Linked DNA regions of Styela clava. The protein of the gene in region 1 purifies or fractionates together with the protein of each later gene. This does not show direct contact. Links are inferred from orthologs where the notes say so. Each region holds a gene or a part of one and is shown in the gene's direction. Other genes may lie near its edges. The genes, in order: iron-sulfur cluster assembly 2 homolog, mitochondrial-like; iron-sulfur cluster assembly factor IBA57, mitochondrial-like.

Region 1 (16,888 bases):
AATAGGGCAATTTATAAAGTATGCCAGTCCGCTTTTAAATGCTGTTTTACGCTTTTATAGTGAAAGGTAGATAGCGTTAGGTAAGTAGAGCTTACCCAGAGAGGCACTAAGTTTTAGTTTATAACTGTCAAATTTAGCCTTTGACATACAGTGACGGTAGGCCTCTATATATTTACGTTTTCATTTCTGTAATATTAATTTCAAGATGTCTCCTAAAAAGAAATTGAAAAACGACGAATCTCATGTAAAGTTCGGGTTTATTGTAATAAACGCCGATGGGGGAAGAGGTGTTTTCCACTATACCATACGGCACTCTGATTTTTTGTTGTGATTATTAAATCTTTTAAAAATTTCAGTGCACAAGGCCGTGAATCATTTGCGAGGGGTCCGCCATAAATTTTTGGAAAAAATGTTTAGGAACCACTGGATTAGAACCTCTTTGTGAGCGCGCTTGAATGGGATTACTCTTGCAAGGGAGTTTTTTATTAGCAAAGGGTAGAACTTCCTAAGCTCGGAGTCAAGTCTCATTGATGGTAAATTGAGAACGATGACAAGTCCAAGTCATTTAGTGACCTGTTGTTCGAGTTGTGTCGAATCAGTTACTCAAGCCACCCACCATTTTTGCAAATACCAGTAAGTCCCAGAGAACTTCCTTTGAAAAGATATTTATAAAGTGTTGATTTATTAAAATGTATTACTGTTTCAGTGCAATATGCTCAAAGCAAACCAGAAGTGATGGAAGCGTTACAAATGCTTCACCTTGCACAGAATAAGGTACTATATTTTTCTATTTATCAAATATCTATGTAATCTTTTCTGGTACTTCCATAGTATGTGTACCAGGTTAGGGTTAGGTCATAATTTTAGTTCGACTTTACTTATTTCAATTCTATTATGAGTTCGAGGACTGTGAATATACCCCCTGCCCATAGGTTTCAGTCTCTTTACACTACTTGATGTAAAGTAGGCGAACAAAATTAGTTACCTTCATATTGGTACACAAACCATAAAAGGATATGTTTTGTGTGAGAATATCTGCTATATTATTATTGATTGTGTAGCGTTCATTTCACTTACGGTAGTTTAGACATTCATTACCCTAATTCTGGAAATTACTGAAATCGTGTGGTATTGAATGAGTGAGTCACCAAACTTTGTACAGTACTCCGGTACAACCCAAACTCTCCAATATAGATTTTGTACCAAACTTATCCTTTATCATTTATTTTTTCAGGCAGGGCAAGATAATTTGCAAGAAGCAATGGATTTATATGAAAAAGCATTAGAAGCTTTAATATCATTATCCAAAGGTTAGTTTTTGATTTCTTGAAATGGAAATAAATTTTATTTTATCTAATTGCAAAGTCCAATGGTATTTGTACAATACTTCTCTAAACATTTAACATTAAGAATGCTTCTGCGAGGTTTTTCAAATTGGCTATGACGCAGTGATATGAGAATTGTTTCGAAATTTCAAAAAATCTGTATAAAAATGTGTCATCCATGAAGGACTCTGTGCTTTTTCATTCACACAGCACAGTTAATATATAAACCATGTGTAATATACCCTTATATTTGTAGATGATATGTTGTGGCGTATGTCTACAGGTCATTCAAAATTTGGTTTATTACATTTTATTTTCAGTTGAGAAAGACACACAATTGAAAAAATCATTACATGATGAAATAGAAATTTATTTGAAAAGAGCAGAGGATGTCAGGGAAAAGTTGAGGGTAAGAATGTGCCAAGTTTTCATTCAAAAAGTAAAATTTGAAGTTGTGCCAGAATCATGTGTTATTTTCTTGTATAAACATGGCTGCAGACTAAATTGATTGGTGCTCCAGAAGTATGTGTACCAATATGGAGGTAACTAATTTTGTTCTCTTACTTTACATCGAGTTGTGTAAAGGGACGGAAGCCTATGGGCAGGGGGATATATTCACTTGGCCAAAAACAGACAGCTCCGGAACTCGTAATAGAATTAAAATGAAGAAAATCGGAATAAAGTTATTGCCTAACCCTAACCTGGTAAACACACTACGGGCGTACCAATTGTTGTTTATAAAAGGTATTCGTGAGAATAGCATGAGCAAGATAACATAATTAATTTTAACTAATCGTATTGGAAGACTCAATATTTTTATTATAAAATAGAACTCAAAAGATGAGAAAGAAAAACCAGCATCTTCACAACATCGTAAACCACGGTTTCAAGTTATAATGGAGGAAGATGATCATAATACAAAAAGTAAGCATTTCAACTTTAGTATTTCGCTTGCATGCTTATTTCAAGAGAATTACATAAAGTACCTAAGATTTCTATTTTTTCGTTTGCGTAAATTTTTGTATTTCGTATCATTTACCACCTGGGATAGGCAAGGTTTTTTGACCTGGGGCCAGAAATTTTGCCCATCTAGACTCGCGGGCCGTGTAAGTTACATTTCATGAACAATATTTACAGTGTTACAAAACAAAAGTGGAAAACAATGATGTCTGTGCCGAAACTAAATTTAATCACAATCTTAACAAATTTCTTGAGTTACTTTTTAGCTAAAACATCAAAAATTGGTTTTAATTTGGTTGTGGCAGCATCAGGCAGGCCAGATTGAATTACCCAACGGGCCGGTCCATAGTTTGCCTTGTTTAGTTGTAAAAATATGTTTTGCACGATTTTTAATCTTTCTGTTACAGAATGCATTGTGCAGTAGTACATGTAACAACAACACAAATCGCCTTCACTGTGTCAAAGGAGCCGCCATCACTCGTTAATTCTTATCACTCTTATTAAAGCAAATTTACATATATATTAATGTCTTTATCGTATTTTTTGTTCTATTTGTGCAGATAATTTTATGCGATTCATGCCTAATTCAATATTAATTTTATGTTGTGATATATCATAGTATTATTTTATCTTAAGAATCTTTTTACCATGCCATGAAAAGGAATTTCAATGGTTTTGTTTGAGAACTTGCATTTGTTTAAAAAAGTCCAAATGCCTCTGAGCCTAATTTATGCATTGTTTTATGTTTCACTTTTATTGATCGATTTTATTGAATTTTTGATATTTGATGCATTTAGTCAGTGTTGGTGTTATTTTTAATCGCAGCGAGGTTCAACCATTGGACAACGTTCTTTGTCATCTTCGTTGCCATTTTGTTCGGTGTTGTGTTAAAATTAGAAGATATCTGGATGATGATCTCTACTAGATGATATTATTATCCAAACTGGACTGATAACATCAACCAATTCAGACACATGCAGTATTTGAATATATTTTTGTGCAATTTTAGTCTTTTTATCTATTGTTGTGCGCTTAATGGTAATAAGATCGTCTGTTTTGCTTTTCACAGAATTTGACTTATATCGGGGCACTACAGTTGTAGTTGGCGACTTTAAACTTTTCCGAATCGAAATTTCAGGCTTCTATCGATCAACTTTTGAGTTGAAATATTTCCTACTGAGCTAGCAAGCGATGAAACTTTCCTATGAAGTTTTGCTATAATGAAGGTGGTATTGCAATTTTTAATCGATTTTTGAATTGCTCGAATTCTGAAGAAATAGATAACATCCGTCATTGTGCACAAAATGACAACATACAGGACAATAAATTCAGGATAGTTGCCAAGGTTTGTGACAACAATATACCGTAATATATAATCGATCTTCAATTGTGCCACTGAATATAAGGTAAGAAAAACACTGAGATTAGACAGCATTTGTGAGTACGTTGAAAGGTGCTGGAATGTGCGAGTTTTGTGTCAAATTTCCAAGAAAAGTATTTGTAGGGATTCACCAAAGTGTAAATAGCACGGAAAACCTATATTCTGAACCTTGGGATTTGAGAATATTTGTCATTATCACTTCCCAAAATAGCGAAGGTTTTTGCTCAAATAAGTCACCGTTCAGGACGATCCATTTCAATAAATCCATTTTTTCAACTTTTGTTTTTTTGAAAATCGGTATTGCAGTGAGGCACACTATCATACGTTATTTTCGACACCCTTTTTCTTTATTCGTGAACGATTCACTGTTCCTTCCTACGAACACCTCTAGATAGATAAAATTAGGCTTTTCAGTATAGCGTGAATAATTCCGGTGGTGAAGTAATTCTGTGGGGAGATTTCTCAGGCTCAAAATTGACCACTATTGTATGCGGTAGCTTTTATTGTGTGCTCGGATTACCGCAGAGCGATCAAAATATCATGGCGTTGCTAGCAACAACCCTTGGAGATAGGCAATGTACTTCATTTTTGGGTCAAGACCTTGTGCATCCTTCGATGACTTTGAATCGCCTTTCAGATTTGTGTGTTTTTCGTTGACATTTTAGGGATAAGTTCTAAACTACATCAACAACGTTCAACAACATGTTCTTAATTGCTACAATGTTTTCAAATGGCTAAAACATTATCACGGGGGAGAGGAAAGCCGATAACACGGCTTAATCATATGATGAACCACGGCCTCCCGTCCCGTTACCAGACTATAGCTACAGGGGTGGTAGCACAAAAGTCATATTGGGGGTGTCAAAATAGGGCTGACGAAATAGGGTCGTCGAGTCAAGTTAGGGGTGGCGAAATACGGTCGGTGCGTGTCAGATTGGGGGTGACGAAATACGGTCGCTGCGTGGTGTCAGGTAAGGGGTGACGAAATACGGTCGCTGCGAAGAAATCCTAAAGATTTGATTTTCGCATGTCAGAATAGTAGCATCACGTTTTGAACTGGACATATATTTATACCAAACATAGCGTATATTCCGGTAATTTTATGAAAAGTATATATGTAGTATCATAGTTAAAAGTGGTTTTGTAGTTCAACTAAATTCGCTAAATAATTGAACAATTATCTTTTTACTTTTCAATATAGCGTATAAATGTAACATATTTTAAAGAGGAAGCTTTCGAGAATCGCTTCTTGGAAAAGTTTATTTTCCTCGAGATGACGTTGACATTAATCGATTTAGATAAAACACAAAACCAATTCAAAAGATTTTACGTCTGAATTGTTGAAATATCGAAGGATATGCGTTGTGTTTGATATTACGTGCTGCTACTGTTCTACTATGATGAAATGGAATCTATGAGGGTTTTTCTTTTCTTCCAATGTGTCATAATACTGCGCTTATAAAAAGTTTTCGAGATATAGCCATTCCAAAAACGATATATTGAAAATTTTGAAGAGTCTACGGGAAGGCGTGAATTTTTTTTATTATTTCAAAGTAAGCTAGCCGCAACTTATTCCAACTTTCAAAACCGTGCTGCTACTGTTCTGCTATAAACAAATGGAATATAGAAGGGCTCTCCTCTTCTCCTAATGTTGCCTTTATTTGAAATTTTTGAGAAATCGCTGTTTGAAGAAGACCTATTTTCACCATCGAAAATTTTTGAATGAATCCGCAAGAAGGCGTAAATTGTTCTACTATTACACTGTAATTTACGCAAATTACAACAACTTGTTAGACGTAGAACACGGAATTTGGACAATAGTATTAGAAAACATTTACTCGGGTATTTAGTAAATTTGAGTTAAACCACAAAACCCCATTGGAATATTTTTCGAATTGTAAAAAATTCGAAGATTATACGCTGTGTTTGGGATTATATACAGCCATATCAAACCGTGCTGCTACTGTTCCGCTATGATTAAATGGAATCTAGAAGGGTTCTCCTTTTTTCTAATATTTCGTAATGTTGGCTTCATTGTAGGTTTTCAAGAAATCGACCAACCAAAACTGTAATTATTTAAAATAAAAAATAAAATCCACGAGAAGCCGTATAATGTTTATAGTTATTTTATACCATTTCCAACTTATTCCATGTGTATTAGACGTCTCTGTTCGGTGTATTAGACGTAAAAAGGTAATTGTTCAATTATTTATTAAATTTATTCAAAATACAAAACCACTTTTACCTACGATAAATACATATTTTTCATAAAATTATCGGAATATACACTATGTTTTTGGTAATATATATGGCCAGTTAAAACGTGCTACTACTATTCTGCCATGATGAATTCGAATCTACAAGATTTCCTTTTTTTATAATGCTGGCTTTATAGTAGGTTTTCAAAAAATCGCTCATTCAAAACTGTAATTTTTCTACATTTTTAAAGAATTCACGAGGTAGCGTAAAATGTTTTTTATTTTATATTCTCCGATACTTGTTTTAAATGTATTAGACGTTCAGTATCAAAGTAAAAAGATACCTGTTCAATTTTTCAGTAAATTTAGTTACATAATTTATTTAAACTATGATACATGTATATTTTTCATTAAATTATTTGAATATGCGCTATGTTTGGCATTCTATATGACCATGTTGAACCATGATGCTGTTCTGTCATCATAATACATCGAATCTATAGAGTTTCCCTTTTTCTTTAAATATGTCGTAATGTTGGCTTTATTAGAGGTCATCGAGAAATACCTGCCTAAAAACGAGTCATTAGATCAATTGTAATCAATCATTATCATAATACTTGTTTTACAGTTTATTTATTGCTACTGTTGCTTGTCTATGCGAACTACAGGGTTGTCGCTATAAAAGCAGAAAATTCATCAAACATTTAATTTTTACAAAGAATGACTTTAATGAAATTATTAAAGGCATATGCTATATTACATTCATGGATGCTAAAAATGTCGTCTGTGCAGAGCAGTATCTTAGTCTAAGAAATTAGTAAGAATGCATTTTATCCTTGATCTCATTCGAGCTTGCAAATTTCTGCTTTTCTAGCGACCACCCTGTATATTTCAAATGTGGCATCCAATGATATCCAGCGAATCTAGAATTCAACAAACTAATTTAAAAGGTTCCACCGAATAGCACATAGCCGTATAATTATCATTTCATATTTACATAAACATTTAAAAGATTCTCCGTAACATTTCGAGTGCAATTTTCGGATTGGACTCATTTCTTTCAAAACCTTTTGCTCATTTCGACTTTGTACATTCTTAGATGCATCAGATGGAATATATACGAATGGGTATGGGTGGGACTAAGGGTGGCACTAAGGCAGGGTCGACCAACCCATGGCCTGTGTGACCCGTGTGTGATCACATGTGACCCGCTGAAGGTTTCCGAGTGGCCCGCGCGATATTATTCGAATCCCAATGTTTTTCATAAATCTGAGCCATTATTGAAACCTCTAATAAAAAGTTATTCCTCGTCGTTTAAACGCGCGAGAAGCACCGCCCAGCTATCGAAAGCTATTTTTATGTCTCTTTGTGGGCGTAGTTGCTGGAGAGAGATGTTTGAATTTATTTTTATCGTATGCCATGTATTTCAATCTGATTCCCTGTCTTTTTTCTGCGAAGCTAAAAGAGGCAGTTTTCATGACCTCAATATTCGACAGTAGTTACTTGTGCGAGCAAGTTTTTTCACAGATGATCCATGTCGAATCCCCCTGAGATCACTAATTTCGCTAATGAAAAATTCGCTCTGCATTGCTACCTCGTCCATCGCACCGAATATTGACAAACTTATTGGATGAAAGCGGTGTCATACTTGACATTGAAATATATATGCGTAGTAAAAACTTTTGACTTTACTGTATCTTCGTATTTTCATTGTGCTTATAATTTTGGTTTGCGGGTTTTGTTTGGTTTTCATTAATCTGCAGTCGGCGTAGTAAAAACTAGAACATAACCACCATGTCAAGTGGCCCGCGCGATCATTCGTGAACTAAATGTGTCCCTTCGGCCAAAAAGGTTGGACCACCCTGCACTAAAGAATGCGTTTCACTTACTTAACATCTTCTGAATAGCGTTTCATCTCTTAAAGACATTCTCTTAGAATTCGGTTTCTAACTAAAAGAATGAAAAACCAGTGTCAATTACATTCTAACATGGGTATTTTTACTGATATTTTACATGATGCTTGTAGACCTTATTCATACAAAAACATTTAAGCTTAATTTTGATATGATTACTTTTTTTATACCTACTTTGTTGCTCCGAACTTTAACACTCGAACAACTTGACTATTGCAGTGACGTTTTAATGCCCCCATATAGACGTTACTTCGAGTCATTCACCATTTACATATTTTAAGTAACCAATGACATACACTCACATGAAAACCTTATTTTATTATTTTAGTCATCAATCAAAAATGTCAAATTCGTTAATATCATAATTGAACAAGCAAGTAATTTGTCTGAATTTATATCTAGGTATATTTAATTATTGCTTATAGCATCCCAAACGCTTGCCAACTAAATTATTCTTCCATTAAAAGTTATTGATGGTCTCGGACAAACCTACAATTTATCACATCTAAAGCTCTTGTTATTCAAGTTATAAATATTGAGTGGTACTGGTAACTGATCTTGATGTCCACACGATCGTATTGATACCAGTTGCTGTACAGTCTATACCGAGATTTTGTTGCTTACAATTATATTTTGTCGTTTTATTGTTTTCTGTTTGACAAAACAAATAAACTTTCCGCTTAAAATATGATAAATCTTTTACTATTTCGAGATGTTCAAGACTTCAAGAGCAAAACGTCATAATATATCAAACATACCTTCACATTAAAAATGTTAGTCAAATTAATAATCGAAAAAATTTGAAACAAACTAAGAATTATTTACAATGTTTAGTTAAATTTAATTAGCTGATTTTGATTTAATTTAAATTTGGCATACGACTCGATCCCTCTGCATAGAGAGATTTCGTTAATTTTAGTCCCCCTATGCAGAGTGATCCCAGTCGTACGTCAAATTTAAATTGAATCACGATCACTTTGCACGATGACATAAATCATGTTTTTTTCATGTCATTTTTATGCATAATTAAATAAAATATAATAATAGAAATAGGAAAAAAATTGTTTGACACTATTTGAGGACACGGAAATTTTCTTAAAAAAATTCAACCAACTGTAAAATATTCTGTTATTCGTTTTTCATATCTTGTTTTGAAGCTCCCGACGAACACAAACGTATTTCAGGCAACATTGTACAACAAGATAATAAATATGCAGATGTATTTCATAACGTTGGCCTCCGAACTATGCCTCCGTTTTTGATTTTTATTGAATGTTACATCTAGGACTCGAAGTTCCGAGAGATTGTTCCTTTGAGCGTTGACTGTTTTTACAATACGGCGTGCTCTTTTCCAAAATTTTGCTCCGTGATCGGTTCCTCATTCATGCAATAAAACACCAGATGCATGCACCATTTCATAAATGAAGGTTTGTCATCGCCGATTTCATAAATAATTTCTATTTAATTCTATATTCCCTAGCGTCACTACCGGTATACTCTCACATCTTTATTTAGGTTGATAGTAATTAACAGAGGCTCAATTGCCACAATAAACATATAAATACTCGGCGAATTTCTGATTCTTGATTTCATCCAGCTCGCTGTTTTACGGTAACTTGACACGCTGAGTGATATTTTGCCATCTACATTCTGACACGCCTCGACCGTATTTCGTCACCCCTAACTTGACTCGACGACCCTATTTCGTCACCGCCAATTTGACACGCAATGACCGCATTTCGTCAGCCCTATTTTGACACCCCCAATATGACTACTATTTAAAACTAATTTCAACTATCATTTATATTTATTTTTCCTAAAATTACCAAAAAAATACGTCATGTTTGGTATTATATATGGCCAGTACAAAACGTGCTGCTACTATTCTGACATAATGAAATCGAATCTATGAGAGTACTTCTTTTACCCCAATTTGTCGTTATGCTGGCGGTTTTCGTGAAATTGCCCATCCAAAACTGTAATATTTCGAAATTTCCCAAAGAATCCACGAGGGGGCGTAAAATGTTTTTACCTATTTTATTCTCTCCGATACCCGATTTAAATATATTAGACGTTTATTATCGTGTATTAGAATCTAAAAAAAGATAATTGTTCAATTATTTAGTGAGTTTAGTGGAAGTATAAAACCAATTTTAACCATGATTTATATATATTTTAACTATGATTTATATATATTTTCTCTAAAATTACCAAAAAATGCACTATGTTTGGTATTATAAATGACCAGTTCAAAACGTGCTTCTACTATTCTGTCATCATGAAATCGAATCTATAAGGTTTCTTCTTTTCCCCCAATATGTCGTTATGCTGGCTTTATTGGAGGTTTTCGGGAAATCGCCCATTCAAAACTGTAACATTTCGAAATTTCCCAAAGAATCCACGAGGGGCGTAAAATGTTTTTACCTATTTTATTTTCTCCGATACCCGATTTAAATGTATTAGACGTTTATTATCGTGTATTAAAAACTAAAAAAGATAATAGTTTGATTATTTAGTGGAAATACAAAACCAATTTTAACTATGATTTATATATATTATTCCTAAAATTAACGAAAAATACGCTATGTTTGGTATTATATATGGCCAGTTCAAAACGTGCTGCTACTATTCTCTCATGATGAATTCGAATCTATGAGGTTTCTTCTTTTCTCCCAATATGTCTTTTTTCTGGCTTTATTGGAAGTTTTCGAGAAATACCTGCCCCAAATCGAGTCAATATTGAAATTCAGTCAATTTTAAAGAACCCTTTAATACAGCTTGGAATTTGAAATTGGGACATTTACAGTTGTTTTAGTGTGTTAATATATATTAAAAAAATGAATAGTGTGATGACTAATTGTTTTACCTTAATTGCTATCGGTAAATCACTCAAAATATACACTTCCCAGCACAAAATGATTGGGAACATTTGATTTTACGTGTAGGAATTTTCTGCGATTCTGTCAGCTCCAATTTCGTGACTTTCTGCTAACTTCACAGAGGTTTCGAGAGTATTGTATACAACAAACAATCACGCATATTTACGATTGTTTTTTCTTGTGTGAATGTGAATAGGGTAAGATTTTCGTATATATCCGATGGGTCTCTAAGATTGGACACCTGCAATCATGACACTCACTTTCGATCTGTATAGTCGAGGTAGCCCTTGTAATCATTCGACCGCAGGGACTTGCATGAAATCATAGGGTATAATACAACTAAATGGAAATGTGCCAAGAATGGTTGTATCAGTTAAGGTTAAGATAGTTTATTTTGAACATATAAAGTATCTGTTTTTTTTATTGCAGTATCATGGTATTCAAAACTCAGTGCTGCAAGAGTACCGGTACGGTATTAAGATTGAGCACAAACAGATGTGTTTAGGATGTTATAATATATTCTGTATATTTGTGCATCAAATGTAGTATTTTTAAAAGTAGTGTAAACCAAATATCTGAGAGGCGATTAAAATTACAAGACAGGAACCACCTATCTGTCACCACTCTTGACTATTTATCATTCTTGTATAGTTTTAAATCTGTAAATAAATAATTTACCATTTCTAGTGCTGGTGAACTTGATGATATACCTTGGTTAAGTCAAGATAAAAACAACTTTATAAAAGTCTCGAATATACTCAAATGCACCATGTCTACTGTTACGACAGTTGGGAGAATTTTCACACGTTTGATGCCATCTATATCTCATATTTCATCATCACACACAGTGTGTCGATGTCTGTCTCAAAATGCTCAAACAAAGCCTTTGAACAATGCTGACCTTATTCTGACAGAATCTTGTGTTGAACACCTAAAGAAATTTTCTAAACAAGGAGAGTTTCTCAGAGTATCAGTGGAAGGTGGTGGGTGCTCTGGATTCTCATATAAATTTGATCTCGATACAACGAAAGAAGCAGATGACAGAACGTTTACAAGAGATGGAGTTGAAGTTGTAACAGACTCTGATTCTCTTGATCTTATTAAGGGATCTAAAATTGACTACCAAACTGAAATTATAAAATCTGCATTCAGAGTTATTGATAACCCACAGTCGGGTACTAGCTGCTCCTGCGGAGTTTCATTTTCAGTTGATTTATAGTATTTTATATTGTTTAATGCTTCATACAACTATTGAATGTATTCATGTTATAATTTTTTTAAATCATATTTACTGTGACTCCCCTATTATGAGTAAAATTGCGTTTTGTACAGGCTCAAAGTTTGAGTCTTATAGTTGCACCCTCGTGTTGAGTAGACCAATAGAAGCTTCCTACCCAGAAAGTTCAGGTTAAATGGTCTTAAGTGCCAAATCTCAACCTGCCTTTGTTGGGTTTCTTGAAAAACTGTTCGCTATGCCAACCATTATCTGATAACACACAAAAATGTGTCATAGCTGTATTATTTATTTTTTGTTCACTAAAGGTAATACACACAAATCAAAGTATTCACACGAAATCTGCATGATTTGGTTCAATGTCACCGTAACGATTTCACTTCTTGATGACTATTCTCACAATTTTGTAAATCAGTTCCATTGTACTTCTTAAATAAAGACGTTTTTCTCTTAAGCAATTACTGGTGTAAATTCAGAACTTGGATATATATTATTATACCATAAATGTTTGTTAATAGCTTCTGCATTTTTGTTTTTACAAGATTTACAGAAATATATTATAAAGAGTTTCGGAATCAATTTCATTTGGCAGGTTTGAAAATATACACCTTTATTTATAATATTGTTGAGAAAAGAATATCAGACACAGCATGCATAAACCAATGTCCTCTAGGTGTATCAGTTTAAATTTGTAACTTTTGAATGGAAGTCTCAAATATTACAATTTTTTTAATTCATGATGTTTCCATTGTTCCAATTTGTTATTCAGCCCCTCCATCATGAAGGTGCATTAAAGAAAGGGCATTTGAATATCAACTTTGGAATAGAATGCGATAGAATAATTTTGTTTGCCTATTTTATATCAAGTTGTGTAAAGGGACTGAAACCTATGGGCAGGGGGAGTCCTCGAACTCTAATCGGAATAAAATTGTGGCCCTTTGTACACTTCGGGAGTACCGAATTTGCTAACCAACCACTTTAGTGTCCATACACAGGTGATAAGGCCAAGTGTAGGTAACACTCACAATAGTTAATCAAGGAATGTTTTGGCAGATTAAAACTCCCATGCAGTCTGGACAGCATCATTTTGTGGCGGTGGCAAGGCCTATGAATTTATCAAGCTGCGGGTAGGGCAATATACAGATTTTACCCATCATCACAAAACTTTCTAACAATTGTACACGGTTCTATATATTTTGTACAAAGCATCAACGCTTCATTTCTAATATCAGGTAAGAAAAGAATAAATATAGAATGACAATGAGTGCAATGCATGATTAAAATAAAAACACTACAGATAAAAGGTAAAAACTAGCGAAATTAGATTTCAGTAAAATGACGGGATGATCATGGGAATCAACTGTACGTATAATAAGACATAACCTTTTATTCAATGTAGAGATATTGAAATTTGTATACTGCTGTATTGTTTCAATGATTTAGTTTATTTCGTTCATATATATTGTACTTAGGAATGTTTTTGGTAAGGAAAAGTGGTCTCTACTGTATTTCATGGGATTAAAGCTCGAGTATCAGAATCTGATACGTCTGCATATTCTTCTTCATCAGTTTCCTGAATTGTTTCTCCCCAACCGCCATCTCTGGGACTGTTTCGAGGTGATGCACCTCGATATAATGCATCCATAGTCCTTCTTCTGACAGCTATGGCCCCAGCAATACTTAATCTTCGCATGACGTCCAGATCAGTTTCGTCAAGTATCTCTTCCTGTATTAATTCTTCAATCACATCTTCCAAAGTTATAATCCCTATGGCCATATCAGCATCATCACTACTTGTGACACAACACATGTGGCTTCTTCCCATTTGAAACTGGTTAAGAAGATCAAATAACGGAGCTGTTTCAACTATTCTTGGTAAATCCCTTTTCTCCTTTTGAAACACTTCCCGTATAGGTATTTTCTCATCTGGATCAAGCTTTATTAATCGTTTTACAAGTAAAATTCCAAGAAGATGATTCTTGTCTCCTTCATAAACAGGGATTCGTGAATGTCCAGTATTGAGTATCTCTTCCATTGTCTGTTCATCCATTACTCCATCTATATTCAAAGCGAACAACTTTTCAATTGGTGTATAAGCTTGTCGAGCTAATTTGTCTCTCATCGACAACGCACCCTTAATTATCATCACTTCATCTTTCGACAGTGGGTCCTCATTTTCTGCATCAAGCTGTTGATGAAGATCTACCAGAATACTTAATTCTGCTCTTCTGAAAAATGTTGAATGATCACCACCGAGTATACAATCCAGGAATTTAGATAATGGCCATGATATTGGTAAAGTGATAAGCATTAGGAATTTCACCACGGGTGAAAGTGCTGATCCAATTGCAAGACCAAATCTTGTGCATAAGGCTTGAGGAAGTACTTCTCCAAAAATTAAAACTGCTGTAACGGATACAACTATTGCGGTGACAGGGTCAGAAATACGATCTAAGAATAATGGCATGCTTTCCACAGCGGCAGCATTTGTTAAAAGCAATGTTACAAGTAATAAATGATGTCGCTTCACAAGTGGTATAATTTTTTTAGCATATTTTCTTTCTTTTGGCTTCCCACCTGAAGCTAAAACATTTAAACTTAGCATGTCCAAAGAAAGTAAACCCATTGTCAAACCGCTTACTAATCCAGCGATGAGAACCAAACCAACATAAATCCCCAAATATATCCAAAACCATTTGTCTGTATAAGTTAGCGGATCTTCTTCTTCGACATATATAATCCCACTGCAATTGAGTTTGTGTCCTTCTACAGTACAACTGATGGTTTTTCCATCCTCAAATGTTTTTAATAAAATTTCATTTAGCATTTTGGCTAGACTGTTAACATATGATAACACAACGTGTTAAAAATTTAACGTTATCTATAGTTTCACATTATTTGGGGCTAAAATTCGCAGTATGTTAAGTTATAGATAGACTATATATTATATACAGATATGCCTATATATAAGAAAAATTTAAGTTTAGCCTATGGCATGGAATTAATTTGATTCCCTTTTTTCATTGATTTAGCTTTATTTGACCTACAAAAATAGACATCGAACACAGATTATTTCAATGCACTGATGCTTAGAAGTTGCTGTTGGAAAAATCAGTCACAGACTGACTGTATTGCTATGCAGCAATAAGGATTAAACAGTCTTATTAACTTCTGTGTCTACTTAAACAGGAGTAAGTACTTACGTCAGTGCGTTATGACTACATCTACATAACTGACTTCTGCCTTCTACTTTAGTGTAAAATTTTTATTTTATTTAATTATATTTTCTTCCCACCAAAAAATATAACCGGTATAGGGTCTGGAAATATAAAAAAAAACGGCCGAGATAAAGTAGGTCACACGCCCGCATTGCTGAATCAAAAACGATGTCATTTCTCACGGACGTTTGCCCTTTGACCACCAACTTGCAAGACAGCATAATTTTCGTCGGGAGTGACGCAATGTGTACCGGTATCTTCTCTTGACCTTTGGTTTGAACCCCATCGAATTTTTTGCACTCAAGAGGTTCACAACCAGGCTCTATTTACCCAACGCCCCGCAATGTTTACAAGCGAGGGTCATACTTCACTCAGCCTATTTTTGTTTGCCAATACCCTGGCTACAAATTGATTTAACATTGAATCTACAAGATGTACAGTACATATGAATCTTTTTGCTAAATTCTAGTTGTTTGAATTCATATTGTGGTTAGGACTGCGCTTAAAAATCATATCACGACCTAGTTAACACTTCATTGTTAAGAATACTGTCCATCTGCTGAGGCTTCGTACTTGAGATAATGACAACCAAAACGTGGGCTACCTTATAGGCTTCACGATAGAATGACTTGACTTTTACAGCATACTGATGTAGAAAGAAGTAATAATATGCGAGTTTTCCTTCGGCATCTATTGTGCATATTCGTGACAAGTGTTGCCTGCGGCGTCTGACTGATTACACATAAGCGCCCGTGGGAGGAAACGCGGGGGCAACACACGTAATAGAAGATGGCACAATGACTCGGCGGTGAAAGTTAGGTAGGCATGAGTTTTCGGCATTCGCTTCAGAAACGTGGGCTTAATATAGGTCATGCGCTTGTTTCATGCATGCAACGTAGTCCATACCTGTGTTTCCCAACCCCTTTGTACGGGAAGCTTGAATTAATTTGTGTCCAAAATTTTTATTAACTGAAGTGATTAGATATTTTCAACTTTCCCTCGCAAATTAATGAATTATTCGCAACACGACATTCAAAAGTAGCACACAAACGAACAATAGAGAAGCCCGAGTAAGCTGGCAATACTGATAACAAAAAAGGCGTCGCCTTTACTACGCATAATGATACAAACCCCTTGCATATCGGTGGTTGTTCTTATTTAAGCTGAAGGCGTGAATAAACGTCATATTAGCAAGGTGAGGCAAAAACACATCTTAAATTCTTACCTGTTATTGCTGCAGTCGTCACATAGTTTAACTAAATTTATGTTGTTTAATGACTGACATTTTGATTTCATTAAACAAGCGATTTTTTTGAATTTTATGAAAATGTTTGATGACGGGTAAACACCGTGGCAGACAGAATTAATCAACTAAAAACACTACTTTTGAATACAAGATCTTGTTTTTTGAATTACTAACACGCGCTGTTGCTGATGCTAAGATAATACTAACATTCATCTCGCAAAAAAGAGTTGATAACCGTCGCACAAATTGAAATTCTCTGCTCTGCCGCTCAACTCACGCTGACCACGTGTAAAAAAGGACAAAATAAAATAGGAAAAAACGCGCACTAAAGAAAAATAGGACGAGAAGACAAACCACCCATCACATGTAATTTATTACACAATATTCGACTACTCTTTCTAGCTCCCAGTAAACTGTGTATAAGTTTCGGTCCATGCAAAACACCACATATGGACGAGCATATCGACGTACATTATCGATGACCCAATTACCGAACCGAAATACCCCACATGACGGCAAATGTGTGTCAAGTAT
Region 2 (16,480 bases), on another chromosome or scaffold:
ATTTTTAGTAGAAATTTCTTTCGAAACGAGGGAAAATGCTTCACGGAACTCTAGTTCCCTCAATGCAAGAAGACACAGTCTGAATTTCTGTAGGTGACCTAAAACCTGAATAGCAAATAAAGTTATTACTCTAAGCCAGTGTTTCTCTGAATTTTTTCTTTTGTAACCCACTTTTGTCGCACAAAAAATTATGTGGCACTTTCCATTTAATAATTAAAATGAGCTTTACCACTCAGTAGCATAAACAGCATCATCATTCAATGCTACTACAATCAAAGTTGAACTGATTTATCAATACCAAACAATTTTTAATAGGTTTGTGACCCACTTGAAAATGTAAACGAGCATTGACTCGCCAGTTTATTTTATATTCCGACAAAATAATGTGTTGCACAGGGAAAAAGGTTGTTTAATTGAGAAATGGGTATGGGTAATGGCAAATGTGTTAAGTATGAATAAATAGACAATTTAACATATTCTAAACAAGATTTATAATTTACAATTCCACTAACGAGGTTTGACTTTCAATAAGCCATTATTTATATAATTTTGACGAGTTAGTAACTTCGAAATACTCAATTATATATACCTGAATTATTGAATTCAAATAACAGGTGTTTCCCAAATTCCGTAGACCTGTGACACCAGGAATCAATGAAGTAACAGCTTTATTAGGTATATTATCATATAATGATGGCGGTCGGTAAGAATCCAGTCTTTTTCGTTCCTGTCTCGATCCGCTTGCACTTATTAGACGTCTAGTACGGTGTGATGTTTGTGCTGCGGCTTGCTGTTTCTTTCTCTTTTTTTGTTTATCTTGGATTGATCGAATCGAATTTTTTGTTGGTCGAGGCCTGAATAAAGGAAAATACATGAAAAAGCTAAAAATGCATGGAAACATAATTCAACTCACTTGTATGCAAGACTGAATTGAACAGGGAGAATGCCCATGTAGTAACTGCAATGGCCTAGCTCTTTGGGCAAGGTTTTTAGACCAGGGGCCAAAAATTTGCCCACAAAGACTGATGGGCCATGTACAGATGCGAGTGTGACTTAAAAAGTTACATTTTATGAACAATATTCACAGTGTTACAAACAATAAGCTTCGTGCCAAAACTAAATTTAATCGCAATCTCAAAAAATTCCTTGAGCTATTTTTCTGATAGAACGTCAAAATTTGGTTTTAGGTTGGTGGTGGAAGCATCAGTCGAGCCAGGTTTGGTCCGCGTCTGCTCAGCTGCTTACATGATATTGTTTGGACTAAAAAGAGTAGACATCATCCAATCCAAAAAATAACACAAAATATTTATTCCATATAATGAAGGTATTTATTTTCACATAAGTTACTAAGTTGCATACTTAGTTTTCTTTGGAACGATTCGTTTCCGTTTTGGTGGTGGATGTCTTTGTTTTATTAATTTTACAGATTGTTGCGGTTTTCTTTGCACAACTTTCTTTTTAGATGTCGTTGATGCTCTCTCTTTCTTTTTGTTAATTTTCTTTATTCGATCGCTGCGCCGACCGGACGGTCTTGGTCTGAGACTCATTTTTCTTTGTTCAGGAGAACCTTCTTCACCGAACTTTGGTTGCGAGGGTATATTTCTTTCTCTTTTTACTGTTGAAGTTCTATTTAAACTGCCAAAAATTTCCTTGTATCTGGAAAAAAAAATGCGATTTCTTTTCACAAAGGTACTGAGTGGGAATAATTAGGAAAAATGATTTAATTTTTAGGTGCTTTTCTTTTGTCAATAGGTCAAAGATGGCCAAAATAGAATATCTTACTAATGGGAATATATTTTAAAGGGGTATTTTCGAATATATTCTTGATTGAGCAATCAACATTAAATAAACAGAAAAATTTGAAAAAATCTTTGCAAATTTATAAAAATTAAATTGGGAGGTGCAGAGTATTCCAAAACAGGGAATTTTACAGTGGCAATTATCTTTTTAAACTATTCTTACATTTTTCAAAGCAATATTGCTTTATATACACATTGACTTGAAGCTTACTCATGCATGGAAAAACCGGCAAAAAATAATAGTATATAAACGATCTACACAATACCTTGCAGCCGCATTAGATCTTTTTGGTCTCGATAAAATATTCAAAGGAATCACAGGAACTTCAGTTACATCAGAATTTTCTTCCTCTTTTGTGACATCATCTTTGATGACATCATCAGTTAGCATGACATCAACAATAACATCTGCGGTCTCATTTACTCCAGGTAAACTCTCGTTAGATGACAAATGACATGATGATGCATCGGACATCGCAAATTCTTCATTATTATCGACGCTGGGTAATTTCATAACCTGCGATGTACTTTGATTGGAAGAAAAAGTCTGCGGCAAATAAGATATAACATCCGAGTTTGTAAGCGATATTTCAGTAATTTCAGATAATTCCGTCATATTCGATAATGATACATCCATTTGGATATCTTCTTCTATTAAAGGCAAGTCAGATTTTATATTTGGAAAATCACTAACATCAGTGTCCGTTGTATCTGATTTTGTATCCGATTCAGAATTTACAGAGATTTCAGGTAAAAGTAAATTATTCTCATCATCACTATCAATATGATGTGAAGAAGACAGCACCTTGATATCGGATTCCTTAGTCGGCAAAGAAATGAGCGGTTCAGATTGGCATGATTCTAAAAATGAATTAATTTTAGTACAGCAAAGTAATTTTCTATTGCTCAATACTGTGCGAAATATGCCACTTCGAAAACATTCTATTATTTCAGTTAAAAAAAGATGTGATATAACAATCTTTGTTAGTTATTTAGGCTTGGAAATTATGGCAAATCACAGCCCCTTCAATCAGTCCCGGTGCATAACTTTACAGCAGTAACGGACCGTACAGCAGTCACATGAACCCTCCTGTGATTCAGCTCAAATATAAAAAAATCTGTTACTATCTAAAACATTATATACCACCAATACCACCCGCTTTACTAATTTTTTGGATTTACTCAAATCGGAGTCGAGTGGACTCATTCAAAAGTAAAAGAGACTCCTCTCCAAGAAAAGTTACGAACAACTGAAATGACAAACAGTATACATTTATGGTGGAGCATTACAGGCCAGTTCAAGTCACTACGACATGGAAAACTGTTGAAAGAAGCAATTTTTCAAGCCAAAGATGGTGAGTTCAAGTCAATAATTAATTAGTGTTCATATCAAAATGGACAGACTATTTTACCTGTGAGATCTGGTGGTTCCATTACAATATCTGAGCTTTCAGTTTCAGTGTCATCATCACTACTTTCTAATGGGAACACAGTTTTTGTTCTTTTCCAATGAATATATCGAACCCATCGTCGGAATGCTTTTCGTTGTCTAACAAACCTAAGACAAAAGAATAATGCATAAAAAATTTGAAATAAAAAATTGTATACAATGAGAACGAAAAGAGAATATCGGTCAGAGACCGAAGACTTATCGATCGAAAGTTAGGGGATCCCCCAAAACAGCGTTCTTACTCCATAGTGACACCTTGTGTCCCATCACTAATTAATAACTCGCTAATTATACGACATAATTCATCCAAAATCAATAGGCTTCTGGTCCGACATATGATGAATGCACATGCAAAATCTGGAGCAGATTCAATCTCGCTTTCATGAGATATCGCGTGCATCTAACAGACGAACAGATAGACAAATACCTATCAACATACTTACCGATTGAAATCGATAAGTAATTATGTGGAATATATCTCTTCTCTTAATAGTAATCTCTTATATAATCTTCTCTTTAAATACTAATTTTGTTTGAAATTTAGTACACTGATTGTAATAAGTGTTTAAGGTTATTTTTCGAATAGTCTTTGAAATAGCAAAAATAATTGGTGTAATATGATTAACCATATAACACGTAGAATGATGTTGCTGTTCTAAAACCGAAAATTTACTAGCTTGTTGCACAAATAACTTAAAATAGGCTGTGTTGGTGCCAAGGTAACTAGACTTCTTCCTTGACTATTAACTCATTTGGTATTACTAATGAACACGATGGATATCTTAACTTCATTGATTATTGACTTTTTGATAACAGAGGTAAGGCGAAAGAGTAACAACCAACCTAGAATGCCAAATAGCAGTGAAAAGTCTGTCATCTCTGTCTAATTGTTCTTGTTGCATTTGTCTTCTCATTTCAACATCAACTTGTTCAGTGATCATTGCTGACCTTAAAGTATGACCACTGCGAGTTGTTCCAGTGAAGTTTTGGTATCGAATGGCCTGGATGAGAATATATGAATGTTGGTGATCGTGAATTTAAATAATTTATATGGGTGGGTCGAAATTACTTGGTAGTTCATTTACTAATCACGATCTAAATTGAATTTATTATATTGATAATCGTGAAGTTTATATGTCGTTTTATAGAGAGTTATCTGAAAAGTTGCTGCCAAATACTTGCCATTGTCATATAAAATTATATAATCAGGTCGGGTGGGTTTTGTGGGTTCAAAAGTCTATGTATCAAAGCGATGGTTGGACTGAAATATGTTGGCATTGCAGATAAAAATCTTGGGTGCTCCCGAAGTATGCGAACCAAGATGGCGGACATCGGAACGTAACATGGGCAACAGGTTAGGGTTAGGCGATAATTTTTTCCAATTTTCCTTATTTTAGTCCTATTATCAGTTCGAAGACTAGTCAAGAGCCTCCCGTAGTATTTATACATAAAATTATGGCCTAACCCTAACCTAGTACACATATTACATTCCGATGTCCGCCATCTTGGTTCGCATACTTCGGGAGCCCCAAATCTTGAGTTTAGATTCCATGGCAATCACCTCCCCCAAGGTGTAATAAGTTGGTAAGGTAATGCCAAACCAGAAACATAGTAGTTATCCTTCATTTCAGAGTTGCTTATAGAAAGCCTTGTTCAGATTATTTTATATAATACATTCTGACATGTCTCATGATTTTACTACATAACACATCAAATCAAAAATAATAAATGAGGTGAAATTAAAATTAGTTTGACATCTGGAAACGTAAGGAAAAAAACTTAACATGTCTGCAAATTGCAATACTATAAAAAAATTTTCTACTTCTTCTCTGGCAAAATCACAAAATTTGTTTAGCAGATTTTACTAAAACAAATTTCCAACAAAGATTCAATCACGAATCCGTTCTATCTATAGTACATATATGAAATTGCGTTCTGATTTTATTAATTCATATAATATCTTCCGGTAGAGCATTAAATTAAAATTTATCTTAACGACATTACTCCTTCCAATTTCTTACCAAAAGAGTTTCTCTGAGGACTTTGATGTCACTGGAATTATTATCATTAAGCACATAATCATCACATTTATAACAGAAAACATACAGTTCATTGACATCGATAACCAGTGGATGACCAGATTCTTGAAAATGTGTTAGGGCGTGTTCTTTTATAAACCTGCAAAACAAAATTTTTTACATTACATATATTCAGTACCACGTATTCTTGTTTATTTGTTACAAATACAATAGGCGCAATGGCCAAGTGGTAAAGATGCTGAAGTAATATTACTGATTAAAAATCTTGGGTTCAAATCCTATGTATGACACCTTACTCAGACTGTAATAAATTGGATAGGCAATGACGAATTGCAAGGAATCTGGTCCTTCCAAAATATCATAGGTTCTTACCTATCGGATGCTTATACAGAGCCTTGCCCAGAGAGGTGTATAAATAGGTCGAATAAAAAAACAATATGCCTATTTAATATTATATGGAACTAAATAAGTTTGAGAAAGCCTTTTTTTAGACAGTAGTGCTCAAACATTTCTTTATTATGTATACACGTACACGTATACACGTATTTCCAACATGCTTTATAAATAAAACATACTTTCGCCTTACTATCTGTTATTCGTAGCTTATTGTTAGCTAGTTATTTTTGAGGTGGGGCATGAGACTTGGGATTTTCTAAAAAGGGGGCTCGGCTCAAAAATCTTGAGAACCACTGTTTTAGAGCATAACCACTCGTTTAATATAGGACAAATTGACCTTTTGTTTTATAACCAATTTAATACCAGGTGAAAGTTCATCCTTATATTTTCATGATTTGATATCTTATGTCTGGCCCAAACTTGATTTAGTATAACAAACTAATATTTGGTAATAGCCAGCTTAGCAATTACAGTATTGGAGAACTTTCTTAAAGCTTAGTCACAACTGGCCAAAACTAACGGAAAATTCTGATGTCATATTATGAGTGAAAAAGAGGGCTCCAAAGACAGATATAATTTCCTGACGCGAGCAGATGAATTATCGAACAAATACAATTGTCTGACATTTGTAAATTTGTTGATTTCGAACCCAGTTGTATGAACACATTCACATACAATCATTTTGAAATACATTCCTTTATCAAATAGAAATTTTATCTCACTTACCAAATTAATGAAATAAATATATACAAATGATGAATGTATATAAATTCAAATGGCAAAAAAAATTAGAGCTTTCATGCAGTTGATTGATCATTTAGGAATGCTAATATCTGGTCCATCTATGTCCGAAAGCAATAAGTTAATAATTTATTCAAAAGTATATAGGATTGACTAAAAACATTGATGATACAAGACCTTATTAATGTGCTGAGTACAAAGACACAAAACAGGAAATATATCTCTCTACTCTTGAGTGAGTTTCTATCATGTGCGAGTGAGCTTGTGAATTTGCAGAAGTAAAATTTGTGTTATTGAAACTAATTGACGCAACAGGGATATCGAAAAATAACAACATATCACAGTAAAACATACAGAGTGTAGGCTTCAGATACGTACCTGCCGCATGCTACATTCGGGCAACTTAGACACGCCCATACAGATTCTGTTGTGAAGCATGTTTCACATAACCATCGCTGAGGATTCACAATCGAATGTCGTTCTCCAATTCGAATCTTTCGAATATGCTTACAATTACAAATGCTCAATTCATAACCAGTTGTCAACCGAAAATTTGTACATCTCGCCAGATAATTTTCTTCTTGTTTAACAATTGTATCTCCACCCTAAATAAATTTCAATAATTATAGATATGTTCGTGTTATTATTATAGAATTAATATACATGGAATTATAGGTACCTTTGTGCACGGCTTGGCACCTTTGCAACCACCTTGCAACTTCAAATTCTGATTATCAGATTTAGATCCTCGTTTTGGGGAAGATTTATCGGCATTTTGACGTGGTGATGGCATACGAACACTGCTAGCGTTGTTTTTCATTACAGATCTGTGTTTTGACGTCAACTAAGTTAGTCAGAAGTTTCAACAGCTGCACAATATAAAAAATGAAGTAAAACATTCAACATAGTATAAAAATAATACAGTACAGCACACTTTCCGAATTCCAAGAATGTCCCGTCATTTGGTTCAATAAAACAAACACTCCATCTGTCTCACAAACGAGGGCCGTCTAACACAATGATAGAGGTGCCATATGGCGTCATGTGTGCCCCGATAATAATGTAAATTAATCGTGGCCGTCGCATGATCAAAATTGCTGTTTTTGCTAAAAACTCTCGAATGCCACGGTAGAAAGTTTTTCCTTCTGATTCCTTATTATTTTTTCCAGAGGAATTCAACAATGACGTTTTTAGATTGCGCTTCTCTGTAGTTTTTTGCCCAATTTCATTTTAACGTATATTGAGGGACAACAATGTCCAGACGTCCTCGAAAGGAGAAGTGTTTGTTCATCCGCAAAATGGGATTCTTTGGAACGAGACAATGTCTCTCGATCTGTTTAGTGTGCCGTATTTTAGTAGTAAATGCCTCTATAACTAATTCGTTTTACATCTATCGTAACAATGTGAAAATCTTAGTTTAGTTTTTCAACAGCCGTGCTGATTGTGTAATGTAAATTACTCTATAATTTATGTAGAACATCAATTTTATATAAATGGCCGTATGTGAACAATATGTTTGGCAAATACGGAAATCCTGCTGTCCACTTCCCAAACCACAGAACCAACAACATCTGATTCCTCAAGCGGTCAAAGAAGAACTTATCAATACAATAACACAAGACTAACAAACTACTGAACTACAAGATGCTATCTGTTTTAGAATAATGTTCTTCTGTTTATTTTTAAGCAGTTAGTAGGCTAGGCTATTTCATTACTAGGTTAGTACCATAGAACCTTCAAAAATGGCATGTTTTGACACCTGGCTGCATTTACAGATTTGGGTATTGCTGAAATTAATTGCACTTGTAAGTTTTAAATCAGGTACATAGGCTACCCATATTAATTTGAAAAAAACTATACTTAACAATAAAGATTACAGCATTTTTACAAGCACGAAACGAACCATGGGTATCAACTTATGACATCTAAATACCAGGATACTAGGATATCACAGCAACGTCACCACGCTTCTGCAGCTGGATTTGCCTATTTTTGAGCTGAGTACTGGAGTAGTAACTGGCTTGCAGGGTAAGGTATACCAAGTCGATCTGTCAAAATTCATGGCATTCACATCTAACATATAGATTCATTAACAACATTACGCAAATGACCGAAATTCCGCTCTAACTGCAATGAACAAAGCATTGAACGCGGGCAACGACTTCCTTCGCCCAACCATCTCCAGCAAAAATAACTCTGTATGGTGACGTCACCTGTCATGCTCCAGTAGTCCCATTATCTTTCATTTTTTCTCTTCTCTCGTTTGTAGGAGAGAATAAATTACCAGACAAACGTGGATGAGCGTGGGCACGTGATAAATGTTTGACGATGAGCAAACTTGCCAGGGCGGTGCTTGGTTTCTCAAAGGGTTTGTTGCGTAATAATTTTCTCGCCGAGGTGCTTCCCGAATAAAAAGGTCCAACGGGCATTTTGAGAAGGGGTGGAAATGACAAAATGATGCAAGCAGTTAGTCATAAGTAAGAAATACGAATTTACATCCACTTACGCTCACTGCAATTGAAGCATGCTTTTTCGGTGAGTCACCAAATCACGAATTAATGAAAACAAAACTTACCAACATTTCCATAATGAAAACTGATAATAACCGGCCGACAAGTCAACTACTGTAATATACCTGTATGTAGTTAGCAGCAATGCCATTAAAACGTTTATGACATAACAATGAAATTGATCTTTCATTTCTCATAATTAGTCTTATTACAGATGTTCTTTTTCGGTGGAATATGAACCAACGAGAGTCCCGGAATGTTTTGGGGGTATACGAGAACTAAACGCTACTTTGAAGTTCTTTTCTCGCATACATTGCTTTCGGAAAAAACGAATCCGTGTTTTCGCACATGATTTCCATAAAATCAAGTACCAGTAATCGCATCAGTCCTGATATATTCTGCATTCGCAATGCTCAACACTATGTAATAATGACTCACTGAAGCAGACGTGTTTTTTTCCGATTAAGAATATAAGATTCGATCCATAACTAAATGGATAGGTTCCCATATTTATCTCCGTGTAGCAGACAATAAGCATTTGGTGTAGAGTAGAACCACCATCTTCTCAGTTCTCACACGGTGGCTCAAGTTGGTCATGTATTTGTTTCAGGTGTATAGACTTCATGTAGGTGTTACCGAGCAGTTTCCATCTCCAATTTGACGCCCAGTGACCGTATTCGGCCATCCCTAATTTGACTATTTTGCTACCACCACTACAGACTGCGAAGAGTCCAGCTGCGAGCCGTGTATGATTATCACAGGCGCTATGATACCGTAACGCTTAGCATCGTGCGCACCAAAGACCATATGTACCTTTGTATGGATGGCCTATATTTGGAATTGAAAGAGATGTCGGGTAAGACACAAAATTTAAAGATCACGATGTTGTTGCAAGTGTCCTTGGACCCGTCTGCCGCAGCTTATGTTAATTTTTTATTTTACTTGCATAACTCAGATATAAACTCAATAATTGAGACAAATTTTTCCTTTTGACTGAGTTTTTGTTTGCATTGCCAGGAGCGTGAAAATACGGTAGCCTACCGGTACCGTACTGAATTAGGATCTGATGGTGAAGGAAGCTATGGATGTTTCCACGAGCATCAATTTCCATGTTTCTTTCCGTAATGCAGTAATACCTAATGGCCTATCGGCAATGAGTTAATATTGACAGATTGACGTAACAATTAAAGCTGTAAAGTTAGTGAGGCCACTCAGACACTTGTTTCGCTCAGACAGATATTCAAGAATGTTAATACAGTAATACTTGTTTGACAAATAATGAAATACAAAAATACCAGATTGCTTTCTTACATCACTGCGTCTGCATGGAGGACTGAGAGATAGACATATTGTGCCCAACTATCTTTACTATATTTACAGATAACTGGATAGGGGCGTAATCGTCAAGGCACTCGCTTCTTTAGATCCAGGTATCTATTTTCACCATGCCTGTCTCATTTTACAGTTTTACTCTTGTCCTCTTGTTCATGCAATTCTAGTAGTCTGTTAGTGGTCATGAAGAACTTTCATATTCTGTATTTTATTATATATTAGTTTTGCCAATAAAGTCATATCTTTTTTTTTAAATATGGATTGTTGAAGTCAATATAAACATGAGATTACAAAACTTTTTTTAGAAAAATTATTGATTGACTGGTATTAAGGTATACTTAAACTTCCTCAAAATTTGAAACTCAACAATACTACAATATGACAACATTAACAAAAGAACATGTGATGAATTGCATGTTCTCAAAATGGTATTCACAATTTTCAGACATCACAATAAAAAGGTAGGAGTTGATGAAATCTTATTTTATTTAAAATGTCTTTGGCTATGTCAAGAGTTACACTATTACGACGTATCTTTCCGCGGTTCTGTTCGAAATCAAAAATGCTGTCTAGTGCAAGGCATATGCATATTGTTGACAAGGATCAGGATAATGTCAGATATGCTCATTTGAAACATCGGAGTTTACTTGAACTCGAAGGACGGGATGTTACCAATTTTTTACAAGGGATTATAACCAATGACGTTGAACTTCTCCCTGAAATGAAATGCATGTATGCAATGATTTTAAACCAACATGGACGCATTATGCATGATATTATGTTATATCATCAACAACACGACACAGAAAACAAAGTCCTTCTTGAATGTGAGTCGTCAAATTCCGAAAGTATCATTAAAATTTTAAAATTATATAAACTGAGAAAAAAACTGAGTATTACACCCAGAGATAATCTATCGGTGGTGCAGGCAATGTCTGGAAATTCTTTTCATATTTCTCCACAGTTCAGCAATGTAGTCACTTCTGCCATTGACCCGAGGGTCCCAATGCTCGGGCATAGACTGGTGGTTGAAAATATGTCAGAAAGTGACTCTGCATTAATTAACATGGATATTAATGCATATCATCATAAAAGACATTACATTGGTGTTCCAGAGGGTCCGTTAGATTTGCCACCTGGAACTTGTCTGCCCTTGGAATGCAATCTTGATTTTATGAATGGTGTCAGCTTTCATAAAGGATGTTATATTGGTCAAGAGCTCACAGCTCGTACCAAATTCACCGGTGTCATTAGAAAACGACTTGTTCCTGTGAGCATAGAAGGAGAAGGATCTATTGAATCTGGGTCTTCAATATACACAGAGAAGAGAAAAAGTGCAGGAAAGTTTCGATCAATGCATTCTGATGGTAAAGTAGGTCTTGCATTAGTGAGACTGAACTACTCAGGAGAGACACTTTCTTCAAAAGATGGTCAGCTAAAATTTCGATGTCATATTCCAATGTGGTGGCCATCTGAAGATGGCACTGAATTTTCTGACGGAGTTTGTGGCCCAGCAACAGAGGAAAACATATGATCTTTTTATTTCGATTTAACAAATATTCATCTATTTTTTGCTTACATTTATCGCTTTTTAATCTCTCGTATTAATTTGAATTCAACAGTTCTTTGATTTATTTTTCGAGGATTCTTTTAAATTATATAGTGAATTTGATTTATACTAGATGCAATGTAAATTAGTTTTTGACATATATCAGTAAATAACACTAAATTTCCTAATATAATTTAACTATTAGATTGAAATTCATAATTTTCAGGCTATTGAACTCTTAATACTGAATATGTTGAAGAACTGTAATTGTTCACTTCAAATGTGTTTAATAATCGATGGCTGTCATTTGTGGATTTTTGTTTTTTAGCTTTATTATACCATTGCCGGATGATTTTGTTGAATATTTGCAAAAAGATGGTCCATTGATATTACCAAAAGGTGCTGATTTAAGTATACAAAGTAATTTCGATGATAATGAAAATTGGTCAGATGAAGACGAAACACAAAATGAAAATGAGGTTTGAAGATTTTCTAAGATTTCGAATCTGTGATATTCTTGCCTTTGTAGGGACGCCAAATTCAGTCATAATTTGAAAAAATGGATTCATAATTATCCTAACTTACTAATTCAGAAGATTTATTACAAAAAAATTCTGGTATATGTATATATTATATACCTATTTCAAAATATACCAGTACTGGGATTGCAATATTTTTGCTTGGAAATATTGGATTGTGGTTTATATACTTATGGAGAAGCAATTGAAGAAGACAATTGTTGTTTACAGGCACCTCAATTCACTGCTCTTCTGGAACAAATCAAAGAAGTTTTAGAGAAATTAAATTGGAAATCATTTCCAAAATTGAATTGGAGTTCACCCAAAGATGCTATTTGGATAACATCGAATAATAGTTTGAAGTGTAACACTCCAGGTGACTTTATGTTTTTATACCCTTTTCATGAAATAGGGTTGTTATTGAATACACCACTATGTCTGGAAAAACTTGAAACTAGGTTTGGCTACTTCCTTGTTACATTCTGTCTGAGGACAATGGTCCTGATTGACCCTTAGCCATTATTGCCAACATAGATGAGGCTTACTACTAGCATTTTTGCTTCTGCTTGTTACAGAATGCCTGATGCCAAAACTTGGGCAGTTAATGTTAATTGTTGTTGAAAATATTTTCAAACTTTTCACTGATTGCGTATCATGCCGACACAAATATTATTACATCAAAGAGGAACTATCAATTAGAATCTGTTCGATTTATTCCTATGATGCACTCGAATCACCTTGCTCATTTGTTTAATAATTATAAACAATCTTCGTACAGCAATATATTTTTTAAAGTGTGTCCAAATATCAGAAATTAGAGTTCAAAATACTGCTTCGTGAAATTGAATTCTTTTCTATATTTATTGTTTTATCAGGTGACATCATTTTACTTATGAAAAGTTCCGACTTCATCACTTACGATTTGACATCTCCATTTAAACTATGTACTGATGATTCAATACCAGATCCACAATTCCAGAAAGAAGTAAGATTTTAATCTTTTATAATTTGTTCAAAATTATATATATGTCGTTCTTTCCGCCAGAAGGGATGTTCACACCCGAATTGTATGTTTTCTGGAATTTTATTCAATTTAAATTAGAATATTTTATTGAGATTTATATTACATGATATTGACATAAATCATGTTCCCACTGCAAGGATGTCAAATTTTAATAATCTGATTATTAAATTAGATTAACAATTTCAGCATCAGCATCAAATCAGCAATTTCCAAGCATCGGAATATTGATATCAGCAAATATTGTCATAAATATCATGCATGTATAATGCATCCTATAATTGTTCTTTTTTTTTTATCATTATTGTAAACTGTTTGTCTGAGGAAGTCTGCCTTTGGTCAGATGGAACAATACAAAATAAAATTTATGAAAATGTGATCCAAAATAAAACCGTATCTTTTTTCTTATCAGATTTATTAAATATTTTCAGTTGGTTTTGAGGAAATGGGCAAACTTAGTACCTGGAATGGAATTCAGATGTTTTGTACGAAACCACAAACTCATTGCTGCGTGTCAGAGACATCATCAACAATATTATGAATATGTTGAAAGCCAACAACAGTCTTTACCTGTAGAAATTTGCAGATTTTTTCAAGAAAAAATTCAACATAAATTTAATAATTCTAATTGTGAGTATCTTGTAAAAGAAAATGATTGAATGAAATATAAAGTGTCTAAAAATGATTTATTATGTTACAGACTTGACAATCATTATTAAACCAATGATCACTTTGTGTGAGTGCTACAAATCTGAATCTCATGAAGGATTAGAGAATGCCAATATGCCATAACCATTGGCAAAATTTTACATTACTATTCTCTCTAGTACCTGTGTTATTTTAATGATTCAAAAGTACTGAATAACCCAATTTTTTTTAGATGTTGTTGACATCTACAAGAAGAGAGATGTGAGTATTAATAGATTTAACTAGATCATTGTTCTTAGAAAATATATTTTTCAGTTTCGGATTTCTGAATTGGTAAATTAGATGATCATGATGTAATATAGGAAATATGGTATTCCCGAAGTATGTGAACCAAGATGGCGGACATATAGCTTATGCTTTTTACCTTGATGACTAGACTTAGGTTGATTAAGAATTTAGGTTAAATTCATTCATTTACTAACTCTAGTTGTGTTTGCAATTGCTTTCTATGTTTTGCTGTTATTTTCTCAGTAATGAACCAGACCCATTTTATTGTTTCATAGTAAACTGTCGAATGTGCTCACTTAATGACCTACAAACAACATTTTTCTTGTTTCAGGGAAAATTCTGGATAATTGATTTTAATCCTTGGGGTTCAATGACAGATTCATTACTGTTTACATGGGAAGAATTGAACTCTTTTGTGCAATCACAATTAACTGAAGAAGATTGTCCCATTATTACACCAGGTATATTATTGTATTTTTCATAAGAATTTGCTGGATACAAGGTCATGTGCACATAAATAAAATCGAACAGTTTAGTCAGAAAAAACATTGTTTTATTTTTAGATGGTGAACCCATTGGAATGTTCAGATTTGCTAAGAGAGATGCAACAATGCAACCAAGTGAAACGCTGAGTTATAGAATGCCACAAGATTTCCTAGATTTAAGTCGCGGTGAAGACGCAACAAAACTAGTTGATTTTTTAAGAATGGTAAACTAATTTTGAATTTACTCAGCAGTGATTGAATGTGGTGGTGTGTTCCTAACTACTGTTTCTGCGGACTTCCTGAAGTATGCCCACCAAGATGGCGCACAACCTGAACTCCGGTTGTGTACCAGTTTAGGGTTCAGGTTGTGCGACATCTTGATGCGCATACTTCAGGAGTACCGTTTCTGCTCTATGCCTTTGTGTAGGTGCACCCATATTGCACTAGTGGCAAGGATACTGTGATAAAAATCAAAGCAGCTATAGCTTTGTGGTTCAAAGGTTAAATTAAACTTTTAACAAATTTTATGCTGTAATGTTTTTATGACTGAACCCAGAATTTCTCAGACAAGCAGTTCACATTTGTTTTACAAATTATGGGTGTTTTGGCCAGGAATATAACAGAATGAATTTGTGAATGTCTCATGCAGCATTATTCAATATTACTACCTAAGTTTATTGTACAGTAGTTAGCCTAGTTAGGAATGCTAACACCTGGTATAGTCTTTTTTCTGAAAAAGGGTATTTAATGTGATCTGTATCAGCTAGATTTCATTTCTTTCTTTCACTGTGGAATTCAAATATTTTCCAGAAAATTCAAAATGAAAACGACGATTCATCATCTGATGATGATGAACCTTGGCAGTTACCTGCTTCCAACTCAAACACTTGAACAGATAGCCAATTCCAATGATGATTAGGTGTTATGGAAAGCCGATGTGAAATTGGCATGATCAATTGATCTGGTGCTTCTGTTGGATGTTGCCTACATGGCATGGCAATGTGATAGGCCAAAATAGTTCGAATTAAATTTTTGTGCGCATAATAAAATTTTGTAATACTTCTTTTGTAAACGGATATAGAACAAAATGTCAGGAGACTGAACAAGATTCCGCGATAGAATTCAATAAAAATATGCAGATATCGATATGGTTGAGTTTGCTCAAAGTATAAATCTTGCTGTTGACTTTACTGTATACCCAGTGTTGTACCTCTGCTCAATGCGTGTTGTACGCCCAATGCATTTTTCACCGCTTGTTAGGACTGTCATCTTCTGGCGAGTATCAAACTAGTTGCGTGAAATTTACTTTTTACTTGGGAAGAATTGAACTTCTTTGCTCAATCACAATTGACTGAAGAAGTTTGACCCCAGTCCATGCTTCCTAAAACAAATAACTGACTGACTAATCCCATAACAGAGATGGTTTGGCAACCGGACGAGATGCCGAGGTTCGCCATATGATTAAGCCGTCTTGTCGACTTTCCTCTCTTCCAGGATATGTAAATCCTATCCTACTTAATTGACTGTGTTAAGATGCAGGCTGTTCCAATAAGTTTGCATAGAACTAGAGTTGTGTATAGGTATTATGCTATCGATTTTACCAGTGGCGGCGCGTCAATAGGGCCGAAAAAAAATATTCGAAAAATACCTCAATATCGGTTGCACAGACTGTCTACACTAGCCATATTCTCCCGACATGGTTCA

What was found.
Region 2: the proteins of iron-sulfur cluster assembly 2 homolog, mitochondrial-like (region 1) and iron-sulfur cluster assembly factor IBA57, mitochondrial-like purify together in Homo sapiens (co-immunoprecipitation; 4 studies listed by BioGRID and IntAct, with this or other methods). This does not show direct contact. The link is inferred for Styela clava from reciprocal best matches to the Homo sapiens genes ISCA2 and IBA57.

What each region holds. Positions count from the first base shown.
Region 1 is NC_135257.1:17,400,602-17,417,489, forward strand, and holds iron-sulfur cluster assembly 2 homolog, mitochondrial-like, read left to right. Parts: upstream 1-11,318; 5' UTR 11,319-11,425; coding exon 11,426-11,875; 3' UTR 11,876-12,736; downstream 12,737-16,888. Other genes in the region: serine/threonine-protein kinase ULK3-like, read left to right, coding at 707-774, 1,235-1,310, 1,646-1,734, 2,156-2,249, 3,111-3,214; uncharacterized protein LOC120345518, read right to left, coding at 13,401-14,717. UniProt on the Homo sapiens protein: Involved in the maturation of mitochondrial 4Fe-4S proteins functioning late in the iron-sulfur cluster assembly pathway. May be involved in the binding of an intermediate of Fe/S cluster assembly.
Region 2 is NC_135258.1:10,860,861-10,877,340, reverse strand, and holds iron-sulfur cluster assembly factor IBA57, mitochondrial-like, read left to right. Parts: upstream 1-10,728; 5' UTR 10,729-10,760; coding exon 10,761-11,801; 3' UTR 11,802-12,144; downstream 12,145-16,480. Other genes in the region: ubiquitin carboxyl-terminal hydrolase 44-like, read right to left, coding at 1-105, 590-854, 1,360-1,656, 2,066-2,660, 3,212-3,357, 4,093-4,250, 5,271-5,427, 6,804-7,030 and 1 more; translation initiation factor eIF2 assembly protein-like, read left to right, coding at 10,646-10,728, 12,145-12,295, 12,566-12,710, 13,210-13,319, 13,787-13,985, 14,236-14,264, 14,623-14,752, 14,855-15,000 and 1 more. UniProt on the Homo sapiens protein: Mitochondrial protein involved in the maturation of mitochondrial [4Fe-4S]-proteins in the late stage of the iron-sulfur cluster assembly pathway. Operates in cooperation with ISCA2 in the maturation of [4Fe-4S] proteins.